2 linked regions of the Lepisosteus oculatus genome follow. The protein of the gene in region 1 purifies or fractionates together with the protein of each later gene. This does not show direct contact. Links are inferred from orthologs where the notes say so. Each region holds a gene or a part of one and is shown in the gene's direction. Other genes may lie near its edges.

Region 1 (9,883 bases):
AATGCATTAAGTTTCTTTCAACTGTTTTGTGTCTGTGACAAAAAATAGGGGCAATCATTAAAACGCATGTCAGGATGTAAAACAATATACTCTTTTTCTCACTTTCTTTTTTTAATTTCTTTTGTTCAGTGCACATGAGAAAAATAAACTTTGAAAAAATGTTTTTTTCTACGTGCCATTTCTTAACAATAATTTGAAAATTCTGTTCACAACCCATGAAGTGTTGTCAATTTTTTATTCTCTTGCCCAGAGCAGAGTTGTAGTTCAGTTTTCTTATAGGTCTACAGAAATTTCAACTTAAATCTAATCTTGCTTCTTGTAAGGTCACTTATATCAGTCTTCTTTCCCCTAGCATGACTGAGTGAGGGAAAGGCCAGGTGTCCTACAGATGTACAGATTCAGACACATGAAACATTATATGTACTGGTATTTATGAACATACTGTATGTACTGTACCACATGTACCATTTCACTCATAATGTTCCCAATGTTGTTACATGTAACTATACCTTGTATGCCAATGATGTCTATGCCTATAAACAAGCCAACCCGTTTTTATGGGTTTAGCCATTTAGCCAGCTACATTTTTAGAAGCATAAAAAATAAGAATTGTAGTTTCTCATCAATTTCTGAGATGAGTGCTTTAGGTGTTACAGAAAAACAATTACAAGTGAAGCCTTTTAGCCTATCTCGCTCACTGGGTCTTAACTGTGATCACAACAGAGGTATAGTTACAGAGTGTTTTTACCAGAAAACCAGAACACATCAATAAGATAAAGGACAGCAACTACATTCTGTGCTGTGAAAAAGTTTGTAACTTAACAAGTGGTGTGTTAAGACAGTAATCACTTATTGACAATTTGGCAAATATTGTGAATGAGTGATATAGTCTTTAAGTATTGAATTTCATGAATATCACCCAATTATGTGTCCTAAGAAGCCTTTTTTTGCATTACCATTTCTCTTTCTTGCTAATAATTCCATCATAAAATTGTTTTTTTTATCTTCACGTCAGAGATGGAAAGTGTGTAGCAGTTGAAGAAGAGCACATCAGAAGCTTGTTTCTGAGACACATATTCCTGTGGTCAGGTTTGAGAATTTTGTCGGGAACCTAAAATTTGTTGAAACAGACTGTTTTTTGTTTGCCTGAGAAAGAACAGTGTACTCAGAATCTGTGTTAGGGAAACACACGGAACTTGCACACAAAATGATTTTGTAGCAAGGAATTACTTTGCATGCCCACACCAGCGAATTATTTCTGTAATGTCAATACTTGCTTCAGCTGTCTTTCAAAACACGCTAATGTAATTGGAAAAAATAATAAACTGCCCTGTGAACAAATCTTGAATAGTGATTCATAATTATACAATACACTGCTGGTGGAAGCCGTACCCCGGTTTCTCAGTCTCAAAATAACAGCTGCTTGTTTGGGTTTCGCCAGCAGTTCTGTATCTGGTGAGGGGGTACTCAAAGATAGTCTGGATAATAAGCGGTGTCTCATGTTTTCTTTGATACTTCAAGTATGGGCATGATAAACAGAACAGGGCTTTTAAATCTCCACCCTGATTTCCCTTTTTTTCAGTCTGGCCTAGCATGAAGCTAACCCTGAGAAACTTAAGCTGAAAGCCAAGCAAAAACGATCCCTGGTAATGATGAAACAGATTCCACTTTGTTAAACACTACTGTTCACTCTCATATCAGAAGAAACATGTGGGTCATGTGGAAGAGTAAGAATAAGAGCCTTTCATGCTGTCAAACAAATTAACAATGGTATACAGTGCAAAAACTAAGTATGTGCAAATCATAAGAAAGCTTTCATTGGGAAAGCATGGTAAAGCAAGAGGGAAAATTAGAAAGTTTTGCTGAAGGAAAAACTTTCATACTAAAAAAAATTTGTATTTTTCTGCTTTGCTTTTTCAATTTAAAAATATGAGAAGAACCAATGTCCTCTTACATGCAGCATGATTCACGGACATGTATTCTTTGTACATTTTTAAATATGTTATGCTTGGGGAGATGATGCAGTGGCTCTGTGGCTAAAGATCTATGCCTGTGGCTGGAAGGTTGCTGGTTCATATCCTGCAGCTGGTGGAGGAATCCTACTCTGGTAGGTCCCTCAGCAAGGCCCTTAACCCCAACTGCTCCAGGCGTGCCATATAAATGTCTGACCCCGAGCTTCTGTCCATGTTTTTTTTTCATTTGTGCAATACAAATTGTAACAAAGATCTGTTATTGAATATATATAGCACAAATAGACTGTCTGAAAAAATATTCAGGATCATTTTGATCACCCATCTACCAATAGAAATTGACTCACAGTGCCTGTGTCTTTTGGGCCAGTAGCCTGCATGCACCTTAATCTGGCCCTGTGTGTAGCCTGTTCCACACTCCCGCAGCCTTTTGCATAAAGAAGTGCCTCCTGTTTTCAGCTTTAAATGCCCTTCACATCGTTTCCTCTTGTGTCCTTGGCATTGTGTTTCACTGTTCATTTTGAAGCTCTTCACTTGGTTGATTTGCCAGTGCCGTTGATTGGATCCCCTTCTACTCCTCTCTGTTCAAATCTGAATATGTTTGATTCCTTCAGCAGCAGTATAGGACACAGAATACACTTGGAAGCTATTCTCTGGACTTATGTTGGATTCAGTATGATGCAATGATCACCTGACTCACACACACATGGTATTTTATGTGCATATGGTGCATATGGTATTTTATGTGCTAGGTGTTTAGGTTTCCATGTACAGTCCATTTTATTCACCCTGAGAGAATGTTATGCAGACTCTAGCAATGTTAAAGAAAGCAGGTCTCCCCCCCTTTTTGGATTTTCTCTATTTAACACAGTTCCCCATGTTTACAGATTGCTAGAAAATTGCAATATAGCAAATGCGCGCTTAGACCTCAGACCAGAAAAGTCTCTAAAACACCATTTTTTTGTTTGGCAATTGTCAGAGAATCACATGAAGTATTGCACTTCTGTAATAATAAGAATACACCTCTAGAAACTGAATACTGTCCTTACCTTGGGCCCCATAGTTAGTACATTTGAACAGGAGAGAACATGCGCAATTAAGTATCATTTTGAAATGTTCTTGATGCCTGTTTCTTTGTTAGGTCTGAAACCAATGATCCTTCGACTTTACAAATACAGACTGGAAGGATCCAGAAGAAGAATACAGTACATGTTAAAAGGTTTTCATATAAAGGTCTGAGACTTACAGCATTTATGCTTTGTATTCTCCTTTCATGCGCTCACTTCAGACATCTATTTTTTAGCACACTGTCCCAAGCATTAGACAGTGCTCCTCTGTCTTTCGCTGAAGCCCACTTGAGGAGTGGAGGGGGTTGTCACAAGACGAGAACACTTTCCCTGGGGGAAGATGATAAATGAAGCATAGGGGTGAGCTGGGTATCTCTTATTTCCCTGGAGGGAGGCTTGTCTCATGATAACCATCCAGCAGCCAAATATTCTTGGTAAACACGGGGAGAAAACGGAGAATACAATAACGTTGTTCAATAATCTAGCATGAATGAAAAAAGTGAAAATCATTCGGCTCAGAAGCTGTTCCATTTCTCCCCCCCCCCCGAATCTTATTCATTGTAAAAGGAAGAAAATCCCACTCAAGTGATATTGATTGGAGGACCTATTGAATTTAAAGGATCTGAGCTCATGCGCTTATTTCAACCCCCAAAGCCCCTATTTTGGATTTCTTAATATACGATCCGCAGCTACTAACTACCTACAATGTATTTCCTTTCGAGGTGGACTACAAGCAAATCTGACGTTAGCTAGAACATATTGTGACGCATACGGCCTCCATTGCTTGCGAGAGCTGGCTTACCAGAGAAATGACGTCACCGCCCTTCCCTGTGGGTAGCAGGGACCGCAGCCGCTGGGCTGATGGGAGATTTCCCTTTGGCTCAAGAGGCTGGGTCCCTGTTGAGTGATGCCGGAGGCCTGGGTTTGAGTTCCTGACGGTGGGGGGCCGACCTGATGTGGCAGGGGCGCCCTGAACCCCGAAGCGTTACAATATGTAGCTGTGACAGATTAGACATGTTGCACTAAATGGATGAAGGTAAGTTCAGAGGAGCTGATACAGGAGGAACAGTAACCCATGTGGTTGTGTTACCTTTGCAGGCCAAGAATGTTGCCTGAGTTCATTTGAACACCACTCACGTCACAGGATTTGGATAGCCGGGGAGGCACACATTGACTGCACAAAAGAAGCTTTGTTTGGATAAACTCCCTTTTGAGATCTTTAAAGATTGAGACATGTTGTTAAGAAATAACAGGAATTCCTGTGTTCTCTTTAACCCTAAATATATTTATACCTGTAAACACCTTAGCAAAACCTACAGCTAAGCACTATGTGCAAGCAGTGTCTAATCATAGTCAAGTATAGTCCATAATACACCACTGTCTTGTAATGCTGTTTGAGATGTTGAAATTATAAATTCAATTCAACAGTAAAATACCATGAAAGCTGTGCTGTTCAGAGATTTTTCTACAATAGTTGTATTAAATATGTTTATTTCCATCGGCTTCTGTTTCATATATGAGGTTATTTAAAATGATCTATCATAAACATGACCTTGGTTCTACAAATCTAGGAGACAGTTGGGAAAGTTATTGTGGCAAATACCATAACTCATGAAATATAAAGAAGGCGCGTTGTAACAGCTATTTTATCAGCACCTGGTTAAACCCAGACTTCAGCTACATTCTAAGTTGTTATTACATAGGCACTGTGAATTAAGGGAGAGGATTTTGAATCATTTAATCAGGTCATCTCATAGTCTTCTCTGTTTAAGACCAAAAAGGTTCAGGTTTTTTAGGACATTCCCTTGACTTGATTCCAGGGCAGCAATATTCTTTTTCTGTGCCATAGTGACCAAACGTCAAACGTACACGTAATGAACTGTAGAAAATCACATGCTTTTAATAGAAAATCCATTTATTTAAATTATGTACTTATACCTACATATCCTAGCATGATGTTCTTTTATTGATTCTTCAGTTATCTAATGTTAATTTAAGGAAGCAAGTCTAGGAGTAACTCTTATTGCAGTCTGTGTCAACAGTCTCAAGGCCTGGTTTCTATGACCAAGATTAACTAAATCACCTGTCCTGGATTTAAAATAAAGCAGTCCAAGTCGCTAATCGGGATTTTGTGAAACCGCCGTCAAAACAACTTTTTTTTTTTATCAACAACTCCTTCAATGGTTACTACGTGGATTAATGTACACTGGATTCACTGCAATTCATTCAGGATCGCTATTAACAATGTTCTGCAACAAAATATTAAAAAAGGAATCAACCCATTTATCAAACTTTGAAACGCCAGCCCTCACATCATACAAAGAGACGGTGGGAGAGCGCAACGAACGATATCCCGTTTCGTAATCAAACTACGTGCCGTCGAAGTCGCGAAAGCGGGCGAGAGGAATGCTCCGCAGCTCGACTCCGACTGGGGAGACAGGGCGGGGTTGTCACGTCACGGCTCAGGAGCCTGATCCACGTGGCGAGCTGCAGACACCAAACAAGCGAAGCACAAAGCTCCGTCTCCAGGACGGTGTACTGCATGTTTATTGATTTATGGTAAATTAACGTTATTTTTAATCAATCTACTTAACTTGCATGTTCATTTTGTTTTCCCAACTGGTGTTCATATAGCTACCTCGACATGACCGAGCTTGGAAGTGGAAAGGGTTTATTTTGAACCTTTCTAAACGTTATGCCCTTTTCGTGTCGGGCTCTGAGAACACTGTGAAACCCCCTTTTCCGCGCGACTTAGCTATTCAGCAGACAACACTTGGAGCTGAACACACAAGCCCGAAGAAAGAAAGCGTTCTGAAGTCTTCCACTGAGCCTTTTTTTTCCTCCTCTCTCACAAAAACAACCCTCCCGCAGCCCGTGAGAAAGGTTTTCTGCTCTCCCCCCCCCCCAGTCAGTCACCTCACAGGTGGGTTTGTCCACGGGGCTGACAGGAGCTGCAGCCAATAGCGCGGCGCAGCCCCTGACGGGGTGATTGGCGTGGCCTCCAACCACTTAGAGCCTTGGAGAGAAAATACAGCGCAGGGTCGCCACCTCGACTGACGCACAACATGCGCCAATCAATAGGCGATATTTCCGCGCTGTGGGCCAATCGAAAAGAGTCGTGCTTCGGAGGGGGCGGGCACGGTTCATAGCGGCTTTTGGGCGGTCCTGCGGGGTAGTTTTGTTAGAGTTTAGTTGTGAATGTGGAAGAGAGGAGGTCGGGAGAAGTGGATCTGTGGTTCATGTTTTATTTTATAATACACCAGAAAGCGCATCGATTTGGATTATTTTCTTTAGGGGGCGGAGAACGTAGATATGGGACGATGAAGATTTGCAAGTGATTCTCAGTGGATTTTTTTTTTACATTATTTATTATTTATTCTATTTTTGTTCTGCGGACTCGTTTCTCGTGGGAAAGCTGCCGTTGTCTGGATCTGGAGAGGATGGATCAGGCTGCTGTCCTAAGGAAGTTCATTCAAGGGGTTCAGGCCATGCGGAGCAGGGACCAGAGAGGAGAGGATAACTTCGGCAGTGACTTCATGGTGAGAGAAGACCCCCCCCCCACACACACACACGCACACACACCCTCACACACAGACACACACCCTCTCCCATCCCCCTGCCCCAGGAGCGAAGGAGCTCCACTGCTGTTAGATCAGAACGACCCTTTAAATGGCTCACGGTGCTGCTGAAATGACAGCTGGTCTGAGCGCATTTTACGTGCTGGAGTCCCTCCGAGGCGTCCTGTCCCCGCTGCTCGCGTTTCCCCCTTCGGCTTCCCAGTGTACTTCCCAGGCTCTTGACGCGGCCTAACCCCCGGCTCCCGAAATCTGCTCCCCTTTCCGCGTCCGCAGCAGCCACGGTCGCACCGGGGGCTCGGGGGGCATCTACGCCGAAACTTGCGGCGTGACACACTTTCCATGGTTGCCCGCTTGCGAAATACGGCGTTGAGCGTGCGGTGGAGGAGGATGCGTCAGCGGTGATGATGATGGTGGTGGTAGTGTAGGGGGGCTTCACACCGCCGAAGCCCTTTTATTTCGGCGCTGTTGCATGCAGGCACACCGAGGTATCGGATGGTAAAGGATCCAACTCCGCTCCTGTGGGCGCAGCGCAGCTGGGGGGCTCGGAGGGTGGGGGAGGCGAGGTTCAACCACGCCAGACAGCAGCATCCTGTGAAAAATACATCCAGACACAACCCCACGCTGTGGATCAACCTTGTGTCCCCCCCCCGCAAACGGTGTATTTCTAGGCTAAGTACTTTGACTTGCTGGAAGACATATTAACATTTATACAATTTGGTGAATGTGCGCTGCTAGTTAAGGAGAAAAAAAAAAGTTTACCCCCACCCCAGCTATGCTTTTTACTGATGGGTAACCCGAGATGAACACGAAAGAATAATGCATTGTGCATTCTTTGTAATTGCTGCAACTTGATCGTGTAGTTGTCCGAACACATTCGCCAGAATCGGTGGAATAAGAGATTCCCTCCTGCCCGTGTTTTGATATTCCTCTAGGATGCAGTTTGTTGGCTCTTCAGCGGGCGATGTTGAGATCCCCTTGCCTCGGGTGCTTGCTCTTTCTTTGCGTGCTGTCAGCCCACCGGCGGGTTTGAAGGCTGTTTTGAGAGAAGAGAGTTTTTTGCTCGCTCAAACTGGGCCCAGTTGACTCAAGCGAGATGCGTTGTCTCTTTGTCGATGGAGTAGGGTTAGGAGCAGAGCAAGTGATTCAAGAAAGATGAATGTCACCAGGGATTTTGAGTGGGGGAAAAAAAATGCTGGGAGTTTGCGGATGTTGCGCAAGAAGTTGGGGCGTTGGATCCACTGCGTGCGAGCTCGGATAGGGAAAAGGAAGTGGGGTTAAGGATTCGGGAGATGAGCCATAGAAAACCTCGTTTTTGTTCGAAATTAAAACTTTCTTAAACAACGCGCACATTTTGTCCCAGTCAGCTCTGTATCTTTGTTTTGTTTTTTCGAAATCACCGGCTGGTATTTTCTGATGGAAGACCATAAAAAGCAGAGTATCTTGGTTATTCCCCAGCCCTCACTATTGTTGTTAACTTTGCTCTTTTTAAAACCTACTTCTTCTCCGTTAATATTGTCGATCCGTGTTATGCGTTTAATATCGTATTGGTGGCCATTGCGTGGCTTGTTTTATTTTCTCTGAAGCTGTAATCGCTTCTGTAAAAAAAAAAAACGTGCCCCGAGGCGTTAGACAGTACCAGCCCAGGTTTGCTGTTTCATGCAAACCGCTAGAAATTCCTGCCTGCTATAAACAGGATATTTAAATTGTGGGAAGTTGATTTTTTTTTACACTAAAGAGCTAAGGTTTAGGAAGGAAATAAAAGGGGACATTGACTAATGTTGCTGTGCATTTTCCGCAGTCCATTTAGCCTGGGTTGTGCACTATTGTTCTGTTTTTTTTTTCTCTCTGAGACTTTCCATCTACTGACCACTTATCGCCGCCTGAACGAATTGTATAAAGAAATAAATACAATCCGATACAGTGACCGGTTTAGAGGCCGCCGTTGGTTTTCAGCTGTCATTAAAGGGAATAAACGCTAAGCGAGTAGCGCTGTTTGAGAGGATTCAAATCGATATCCAGAATGTTTCCGACTGCCATCTCTTCAGGGGCTCACAGATTACAGATAACGCTTTGTGCGCAAATGGGAAGATGGGTTGAACCGCTCTGTGAATGAAGCAGCTGTAAGGTAGAGATGAGAAAGAGCACTTAATTTCGGTTTCAGCCCGGCAACGGCGTTGTTAAAAAAAAACTTAAGAAAATTTCTGAAATTACCTCGTCGTTTTTTGACTGCTTCTTGCGAGGGTGTGAAGCTTTTTTTTCTTGGGGGGGGGGGGGGGGCGATAGGGGTCATTCTGTAATTGAAATGTCTGCTGTCTCTTCCTAGATGTAATATATCTACCAGTGCTCTAGAGTCACAAGGGAGGAAAGAAGTAAAAGTGCTCCTGTCCTTAAAGGCATGCTTTGTTGTGGCACATGTCTAAAACAATTTGATAGGCTATTTTGTTCTCAAGACTTCAGTAGTCTATCTTGTTTTTCTTGTCCAGTGAACGTTTAAGTTTTATGCCTTCCTGAGCTCCAAGAGTAGTTCGGAGCCCATCGCTCATTCTTTACACATTTTTAAAATGCTAATACAATTAGAAAAAACAGGTTCAGAATTTAAAGTTTTTTTCTAGTAGCAATTATTTAAAAAAATCTTTTTTTAGGGAATGTGTGAAGAAATTGAATGGAAAGTTAGACCAATGCATATTTCCTACGCATATTAAACGGTGATGAACCTAATGTTTGTTTATTGACCTGGTGGTTTTAAACTTTTTGCATATGTTAAAAAATAGCCACGCAGCAGAATGGTAGACTGTTTATGTTTGGATAGCGACATGAGTGAATTTTATGCACTGGGGTTGGCTAGTGTGCTTCTAACATTTCTGCTGTCAAAATGAAGTTAAAAACACTTTCGTGTTTTAAGAGACTTCTATCCTTCTGAGGAAAAGGGTCTCCAGTGTGCAACGAGTAGTTTGACTGCTGTCTTCTGTGAACTTTGTGTTTCTCTGCAGGAGCCAAGTTCTAATGCTGTATGGTCACCTGTTATTGCAGCAGTGACGTTAAGTCTGACCGGACTCTGGTGCTTCTGTGATGTGGGCGAATCACAATGGGAAACATTTTATTATTCTTTGCAGGCTGTGCAAATTCAGCTTGCTACAGCTTGGATTATACAAAAGTCCCACCTGCATAACCACCAGATGATGTGACAGCTCATGAGAGACCCTGGGGAGAGTGAAGGCCTGAACGAGCTCTGAGGCTGTGAAGCACTTCCTCTCGCGCGGGGGGGGGT
Region 2 (9,804 bases), on another chromosome or scaffold:
CTGTTGCTAAAAGAGCTCCGCTGCCCAGTAACAGTCCCATGAAGTGGATGAGAGGTGTTGTTCATGATGGCTGTGAGCTTGGTCAGCATTCTCCTCTCAGCCACCACCTCCATGGGGTCAAGGCTCATCCCCAACACAAAGCCAGCCTTCTTGATGAGTTTATTGAGCCTATTTGCATATTTTGTCATGATGCTGCTGCCCCAGCACACAACAGCGTAGAAGATGGCCGCTGCCACCACTGATTCATAAAAAATGTGTAGCAGTGTTCCACACACACCAAAGGACCTGAGCCTCCTAAAAAATAGTCGATTCTGACCTTTCTTGTACAGGGCGTCAGTGTTACCAGACCACTCCAGCTTATCATCCAGGTGTACCCCTAAGTACTTGTAGGAATATACGCCCTCTATGTCCTCACCCTGGATGGAAACAGGGTTCAGCGGAGACTTATTCCTTCATGAAGAACATACAAATAAAACATTCCATTAATTGGTCTGGATAAGTGTATCAAAATGACTGAACTTCCTTTAATTTTCTGTTTCCTGACTATGATCTTTCTGTAAAGCTGTCTGTAAGGAAGTCGGCAGTTATTTTATTTCTCAGCTTTGTTAGGTCTGTTTACAGTTGCTTTATGTGTGTATAGTGTTTACAGATATTTATAGAATTTACAGATACAATATTTACAGAATACATACAGCATACAATGTGAGAGTGTATATGTACATGCAATAGGTAAGTATATACAGATACATTGTGTATGTCTAAATATGCTAAAAGTTATTTAGTTAAAGGTTAAACAACTTCCCACATTGCTGGGAACTATCTTAGCATAATAAATTAAAGCATATAATTCAGTAGGTGTTTCTTAATTTATTGGTATCAAATAATCATTTTATTTAGTAAGATATCAGCATGTCTCCATAGATTTTTTCTTTATAATCTGAAAAAACACTCCAAAATCATACATCTTTCCTAAATAAATGGTAGAATAAACGACCATTTTCCCCTTTTAATATAGCATATCCATTGACAGTAGTCATCAAATGAAAATAATTTCAACAAACGGACCTTATTTCAATAATACAACCTTAAAAAGAAACTAATCAATTCCTAACCTGAGAACACTAAAGTTGTTCTCCTGTAAACTTCCTGTAAACATTGCAACAGAGATTTTGACACAGAACAGTTCTCATTTTCACTCATGGGAAGGCCTGCTGTCCTGTGGTTCAGGTATATCTATTCTATCCTATTACACCCTGGACTCAAATAGGTTGGTCATTGCTTTTCAGTTCTTTTGAATACACACCCTCTCCTGCATAATCTATCACATTAGGCATCGCTCAATACACTTGGTAATTTACTGTAAAACTAATATGTGCTTTACACCAGTAACCGTCCATGATAAAACTGGTGTTACTCAAGTTCCTCATGACATGCAGATTTCTCATCACGTCTTATTAGTATTCTTGAGTGAATATTTTGAATTGGTCATCTTTGTTAGATTTTCTGCATGTACTGTATCACTTATTCTTAGGAATTAGGGCAAAATGGTTTTCCCAACATTAATGCTAATAATTTATTCTCATCTTAAATCTGTCCTAAAAATTTAAAAGAATATAAAAATAAACACAACATTTTCTGGAATGAGAATACTATAGTTATAGCTTATGTACCTTCATAAAAAAGTCATCAATTTGTTTTAAGCCCTCTGACCAGCAATACAGCTTGTACAGTGAGGCATTGCAACTTGCCCATCACATGAAAGCTCGTTAGGTGTAATTTTACCCAATGAGGTCACCTTTAAAAAAGGCCTTAATTGAAAACTTAGGTCACTGCAAGAAAAAAGGACACACAGTAGTTTTTTGTGCATTCCATAATGCCTTGAATGTCACCAGAAGCAAGGGAGAGGGCCATTGGCATGCTGCAAGCAGGCATGTCATGTGCCAGTGTTGCCAGACACTATGGAGTAAGCTGCTCCACTGTGTCCCGGCTGAATAGAAGGTTTCAGCAGACGGGCAGGATAGATGACCATCCAAGATCCGGTCGCCCTCGAGTGACCACACCAGAGCAGGAGAGAGACATCAGACTGGTCCATCTGAGAGATCGTTTCAGATCTGCCACCCACACTGCTGCTGAAACTGCCAGCAGACACATTGCTTGCGTCAGTGACAGGACAGTGAGGCTCCATGCTGCTGGCCTTAGAGGAAGGCGACCTGTTAGAGCCCCTCTGCTCACATCTCCTAGATGACAGCCACCTGGCTTGGGCCAGACAGAGGCTGCGATGGACTCATCAGCAGTGGCAACAGATCCTCTTCATGGATGAGTCACTCTTCAGCCTGTTCCACATAGATGGGATAGGTGTGGAGTAGGAGATGTTGCATTTCTTTTTTCCATCAGTATAGATACAGCTATGCGCCGACAGTACTTTAGCTTTTTCTGCTATAGTATTTAAAGAAATGAAGGATGTTATACAATACTTTAACAAGAATCTACAAGCAGGTACTCTGGACTGGGGTCATACTAATTAGAAAAAAACAGTGTTATATCCATTTTAATCATATTTTCACAGATAACATGGATTTAGAAAGAGTATATCTTGTTTAACTGCATTACGGAATTTTTTTAACAAGCAATGTTAGCAGTGGTTACAATAAAAGCCTATGAAATACTACAATTCCATGGAGAAAAAGGTTTGTGAGCCCTCTAGTCTGGCTCATAGTCTCTTAGACTTAACATAATTACGTGGGCAGTGTGGTGGTGCAGTGGTTAGCATTACTGTCTCACAGTGGTAGGGCCTTTGGTTCAGTTCCAGACCTGGGGTGCTACCTGTGTGGAATTTGAGAGTTCTCTCCATGTTCATGTGGGGTTTTTCTGGGTGCTCTGGTTTCCTCTCAGAGTCCAAAACATACTGGTGGGTTAACTGGCTTCTAGGAATATTGGCCCCGTTGTGTGTATGTTTATATCTGTGTGTTCCGTACGATTAAATTGTATTCCATTCAGGGTTTATCTTGCTTTATACCCACTGATTACCAGGATAGGCTCTGGTTGCCCTGCAACCCTGAATTGGATAAAGTAGCTAGAAACTGTATGGATGGATAACCTGAAATCAATGTATAATGCAAAGACATAAGAAATGTGTGGATTATTTAATTAACAAAATTATTTTATAGAAAATATCCTAATGTGAATAAGTAAGTTATCACAGTAACTGGTGGCACCTCCTTGAGCAACATTAGACATTTCCTGCAACTTTTTATCAGTCTCTTGCATCAGTTTTCAGGAATGTTGGCCCATTTGTCCTTACATGCTTCAGGTCAGTGAAATTTGATGGTTTCTTTGCATGAAGAGTTTGCTTCCGACTCTACCCTAACATTTCATTGTGGTTTTAGATCCATACTTTGACATGCCCCATCCAAAATGCAAACTTTCTTCTTTTGCTATTGCTCGTTTGTTTAGGGGCATTTTCTTGCTGCATGACCTTATTTCGGCTCTGCTTCAGTTGACGAATGAATGACCTGTTATTCTGCTCTTTAATTTACTAAACATAAATATAGATATCGTGGTTCCATCGATGATTGCAAGCTGTCTGAATCCGGAGGCAACAAATCAGCCCCAAGCTATGAATTTTCCAACACGATGCTTAGATGGTCAGAATGAATTTCTTTTGTTGGAAGGAAGCTTTTTGGCCACACTGACACTGGCTACAGAGAGGCCTGCAGATCCCTAGATGTGACACTAGGATTCTTAAATTATTTAGCTGCTTGCTCTTGGGAAGATCTTGGCAGGATGACTGGTATTGGGTAACGACACCATTTGTTGACATCTGTCTGACAGCTGATGGATAGAGCTCCAAATGTATAGAAATTGCTTTATAACTCTGCCCAGACTGATCAGCATCAACTACTCTGTTTTTTTAAGTCCACTGAAATTTGAGGTTGTTCCACTAACTTGTTAAGGGCAGATCAAACTCCCAAAGTTTCTAGCCATTATACTGTATAAGACAAAGTTATCCAGACTCAGGCCTTTACTTATTTACTTATTACCCAATTATTCAATCACCTGATTGTAATTACCACGCGAAATGTGCAAAGTATACTATTGTTTTGCATTCACCGATTCTAAGTTACCATTATTTTCTCCATGCTGTTGCACAGAGAAAAAAAACGTTCAAATTAACATTAATGTAGAAAAATGCCGAATATTATATGTACTGTAGGCTCCTTCTCTGTCCTGTCCCTAGTTTCCTGTGGTTTCCTCTCTTTCCGGTGTCTCTCTCTCTGGGGTTATATATTTCCGGGTCACTTATTCTGTTTCGCTCAGCATTGACGTTCAGATGTCCTGAGACCCACCTAGCACCAGGTCGCTGCTCTGTCTGTGGCCTGAGGGCATAGGTTTCTATACGGCACTCCAGAACTCTTTGCACTGCTGAACCCGGGCTAACTCCCCGTTCCGCCACCTTTCATAGGGTCTTTTTCCGTTCTCCTGCCATTCCATGGTTCGTCCCTTCCAACATCCGTGACACTGGTTGGAATCCTGACTTAGCTGAATCCGGGGCTCGGAGCGCCTGGCCTCATCATTCCGTTTTTTACTTCATAGTCCCAGATCCTGTTCTTGTTTTTACTCTCGTCTCGTCTTGGATGGATCACCTGGTTTGGGATTTTGGACTGCTCCCGGATTTCCTACATTGGATTGTTTTTGGACTTGTTTGCCTGCTCTCCCCCATTGCACCTGATCACTGTCAGCACCGCCCCCTGTTCGCCATCCCTTCTACTCCTCACCGTGTTTTCCCTGTAGCCCTGCTCCAGCCACTTCCGTATTATACCATCTGCATAGGGTCCTAAATACACACTACACGGGACCGACTCCCGTGACACACATGACTATTAAGGATTGCACTAAGGGTTATGTTTCTCTGGAAAAAAACTACATGGAGTGTATAACAGAAGATCCTTATCTTGATTAATTCTTCTCTTCTATATATACACTGTCTCATCTTCTGGACATTCCTTTGGGTGTTTCTCTCACACTCCTCTCATCTCTCCATCTTCACCCTTGCAGCAGCTCTCTTGGAATATTATATTCCATGTAATATTAAAATGTAATTCCCTTTCCATTAGTGAACTACTGATACAATATATGAAGAAGAACAGGAAACAGAGAAAAAATAACAGAGACCCAAAGGGAAAGTCACGAATTTAAATGTAAAAGTCTATTTGTTCAGTACAGAAGATATTATGGTGATCTAGAAAAAAAAACATTACCAATAAAAGCCTTTATAAAGTTCTCATTTGTTTTCATATCCCCACATGCACAGTTATTTGCATTATGAAACAATTTAAAAACGATATATAAATGGGGAAAATGTAAGGGATGGGAAAGTAGGAGTAACAATACCTTGATAGAGAAGTGCAGTGTCATGCCAGCACTGTGTACTTTGATACCTTTTTGTTACCCAGTCACGTTTGACTTCATCTGCTGTCAGTACATCAAAACTATTATCTTGTAGAATGCAGATAAACTCTCAAATTGTTTTTGTAAAATAATAAATATATTATGATTTTCAGATTTGATACCAAAAATATTTTGAGGTAAAGGTTTGGATGTGGCATGGAACAGATTTTTACAAAAATAGTATTACACTTCATTCTTTAACTGTTATTAATATGAAACACTTCAAGAGTAAATAACATGCGTTTTGTTTGACTCACAGGGTGGACATATTCTTTGTAAGTAACTATATTCAAATTTCTCTATAAAAATTCTACAAGGAGCTCAGCATTTATGTAAAATTAACAATTAATTCCTTAGATGTACTTAAAACTCTGAATCTGATCAATTAGAACTTGGTTAAGAAAAAAATAGCTTTAACCTGTTCTCGAGAATCACTGTGAAGCCTAACTGTATGCAAGAGTTTTGAATATGGGTTTCTAATTTAAGAAATTGCGTGTCGGTGTGCCATCACTATTATTAACTACTGCTGTGACGGACTTTAGGACCCGGAAATACGGTTTAAAAAGAAAACAGTTTGAGGAACTACTGCTACAGTAAGAGCTCACTCCTTAAACGGAGCAGAAATATTTCCTTGGCTGTGATATTAAAATCCTATTCCCTTTGCATTGTTACATAAAAGGGAACTGTAACGGCTACTGTTACATAAAAGGAAACACATACATGAAAAGATACAAGAGTTACCTTTTTCTTTTGACATCTAAATCAAAATGAAAGAATTACACTTTAAAGGCAATTTCTGGGTAAGTGGATTTATGTTCTTTACTTAAACCCAAATGACTGTCGATTCTGTAATACTTTTGTCAAGCACTTTATTGCACTTTAAAATGTGTTGCCAAGTTGACCAGTCGGGAAATGATTTGGCAGTTGACCTCTGCGTACGTTCAGTTAATGAAACTGAAGGTGAAAAGAAAATTGTGATTTATTATTTCTAATTTCTAATGATATCGGCGAAAGAAAGCTTTTATGCATTTTCTTCAGTAAATATGCAAAACCTATTAACCTGCTTGAAACATATTCGTATGTGTTTGTTCCATATTACTTTTTGTGGGACTTTATTTAAAAGTCTGGCGCTTTTATTCACAGATTCTATATAGATTATATGTATTTGATATTATTTAACATCCTCCTCTAAAATTGCATATAGAAATAATTTGCTGCTCACCGTCTTGCTTGTTTCTGTTTTGTGCCCGGAGCTAATGATTCAGCTTGAAAATATTTTTCTTTATGGAGCTGGCACACAACGAGAGAAGATAATCTGTCTGCTGGAGTTGCTGAAATGTTACTGTAGATTGGGAAAAGGTAGATACAACACTCTAGGATCCTTTACCAAATTCTTCACTTCGCCTCGCTCACTTCTCACTTCACATTGCACAAACCTTACACTTCACGAACAAGGTGACCTGGAGTTTGAAATTATGACCCGCATATGCAACAAGGCTATTGCAGAGAGACATGAAAGGAAAACACGGTTTAGGTAATACCAAATCACAACTGTCTTACATCCTTTAAAAAGGTCATTTTATACAGTATATTCAGTATCCAACAGTGTTCCAATCCTAAATATGCCCATACGAGTCTTTTATTTATGTTTTATCTTTTTCTTAGTAATTAACTTTCTAGGTATAACCCAAGCCTTTATTCTCATCATTTAACTGTTCACGTTTACTGATGAAAAATTTAATGTATCACTCACATGCCTATTTTTTGCAGCTCATTTGCTTCATAGTAATTAGTAGAATTAATTATTTTGCAATTGTAACACATGTGGATTTTCATGGACTGCACAGCGGGTAGTACTGTTGCTTCACAGCTCCAAAATTTTGGGTTGAAGTCTAAATCCATGTGTGTGGAGTTTGCATGTTCACCACTGCTTTGTGTGGGCTAACTCCAGTTTCCTCCCACATGTTGTTCAAGTCAATTGGCTCCCTCCGTCGTGTAATTTCAATCTGATGGGTTAGACTCTAACTCATTGTGATTCTTTAAGGAACTTCACATTAGAACCATGGTAAGAGGGTAATTGCTGACAGGGTATGGTAAGTTACAGTGATGTAAATGGCTTTAGATCTGACATAATACATTTTATTATAAATATCTTGCATACGTAATGCATGGAGCTGTGCTCAGCAGCTATATCACCCTGTAACTCAACCTTGTAATGGCAGCCCACTGAAGCTCAGCAGGTGTGGGCCTGACCAGTATCTGGATGGAGACCTGGAAAAGCTAAGGTTGCTCCTGGAAGAGGTGTTAGTGGGGCCAGTAGGTGGCGCTCACCCTGCGCTCTGTGTGGGTCCTAATGCCCCAGTATAGTGTAACACTACTACTACTATACTGGAAAAAGGGTGCCATCCTTCGAATGAGACATAAAACCAACTGACTCTTTGTGGTCCTTAAAAATCCAAAGGTGTTTCTCAAAAAGAGTAGGGGTGTTACCGTGGTGTTCTGGCCAAGTTTCTCATTGGCCTTTACCAGTCATGGCCTCCTAATAATCCCCATCTATGAATTGGCTTCATTACTCTGATCTCCTCCCCACTGATAGCTGATGTGTGATGAGGCACTGGTGCACAACGGCTGCAGGTGGGTGCTGCACATTGGTGGTGGGGGTATGTGCTCATTACCTCGAAAGTGCTTTGAGTGGTGTGCCCAGAAAAGCGCTATATAAACAGAAGGATTATCTTATATTAAAGCTGGATTTGATTGGACAGTTGACAATCCCCGTCCCCAAGAGACCAAGATGTGTCCCAGAGTAGAAATCGAAACAATCTAGTTTTCAAGGGGACGACATCACTTCTGTAACACAGTCACCGCACTGAGTCCTAATACACTTCCACACAATGCTTTACGTGCATGAATGGACCCCCTTCATTCACTGAAGTGCACCACCATGTGTGACTGCACAGCAGGTCAGGTGGAGAAGTGAGAAGTGACTTTGCCAATTAAATTCAAGGGGAATGTTAAGAATGCCGCAATGACATCTTAAAAGGCAAGTACTCTGGACCTTGGTTCAGTGTCTCATGTAAAGGACAGCACCACCTACCACACAGTGTCCTTGTCCACCAGTTTTGGAGTACTGGTTTGGAAATTTTGAACAAAAAGGAAGAGTGCTACTGTACCCCCTAGTCCAGCAGCTTTACTTAAAGCAGCAAAAATCAGGTGCAGCTTTGGTTTGCTTCTGACATACTGTATGTTGAGTTCAGGCTAGAAGGTGGTAACACAGTTTATGTGTACACATTAGTATTTTTATCAGTATGTTATGTGTCTACCAGTTCTTATGTAACATAATTTCTACTCGAGCACCTCTATAACTGTTCACAACTATAGATTTATTAACAGTCTACTTCTTTAAGTAGTACAAGTTACCTTACAAATACAGCAATCTGAAACCTCTAAAAGATTATATCAAATACACTACACAGAAAAGGAAACTACACAATGAAATCTTGAACAAGTTAATGTTTCACGTTCTGTAAACATGAGATAGGGCTTATTCTCTAGTTTAGGCACTATTGACCCCTTTTTTACTTTTAAGGAACAAATATTTCTGGCCTCATTTCTTCTACATTTTAACCCCACTTCAGGTTCTGTACATGTTATAATTTATGAGGACTGGAATCTGATTTAACAATTTCCATGGGTTCTGCTGAGCATTACCGAAATAGCCAATTTAAAAATATCAACAAAGTACCGTTCCAAAATATTACAAGGTAAAGCGATGGAATACTGATGTGCTGTTGCTCAGCCTTTTGGACTGCAAAAAAAAATTAAATAGAAGTAAACATTAAGAGTAAAAGTCATCATGTTTCACTGGACATCTTAGATTTCAGTTCTCATTTCTTCATGTTGTTTGCTAGATGTAAGTTTTGTTTTCCAAATTGGATTTGTTTTCTTTATTATATTCATATTAACAAAATTGTTGAAGATTGGAAAGAAAATTATATGTCTAATGCGGTACACACGGTATTTATTCGGATTTAGAAAAGTACTAACTCATGTAAAAAAGTACATATCATCAGGAAGGCATTGTTTGGTAATACTTTTAAGGGTGCTCTAAATCACAATTTCTAAGTGTATAACAGTTATCAACAATGAAGTAGCCATTAATAAAGTACTATATGTATAACTGACAAATACAGGTCTTCAGATTAAAACTATACCATCAATTATTAGTGAGGGTCACTTATTATTATTACTCTTATTATTGTGAGTTTATTCACATTGTATTAATATTCCTGTCTTGTCTTATGAATTATGAGGGTTTTATTCATGAATTCACTATGACCCTACTAAAGTGTTACTGTT

What was found.
Region 2: the proteins of ptpn12 (region 1) and pstpip2 purify together in Homo sapiens (affinity purification with mass spectrometry; 4 studies listed by BioGRID and IntAct, counting the BioPlex papers as one, with this or other methods). This does not show direct contact. The link is inferred for Lepisosteus oculatus from reciprocal best matches to the Homo sapiens genes PTPN12 and PSTPIP2.

The regions. Positions count from the first base shown.
Region 1 is NC_090702.1:34,023,107-34,032,989, forward strand, and holds the start of ptpn12 (tyrosine-protein phosphatase non-receptor type 12), read left to right. Parts: upstream 1-6,210; 5' UTR 6,211-6,477; coding exon 6,478-6,576; intron 6,577-9,883. UniProt on the Homo sapiens protein: Dephosphorylates a range of proteins, and thereby regulates cellular signaling cascades. Dephosphorylates cellular tyrosine kinases, such as ERBB2 and PTK2B/PYK2, and thereby regulates signaling via ERBB2 and PTK2B/PYK2.
Region 2 is NC_090698.1:24,135,677-24,145,480, forward strand, and holds the start of pstpip2 (proline-serine-threonine phosphatase-interacting protein 2), read left to right. Parts: upstream 1-6,012; 5' UTR 6,013-6,215; coding exon 6,216-6,248; intron 6,249-9,804. UniProt on the Homo sapiens protein: Binds to F-actin. May be involved in regulation of the actin cytoskeleton.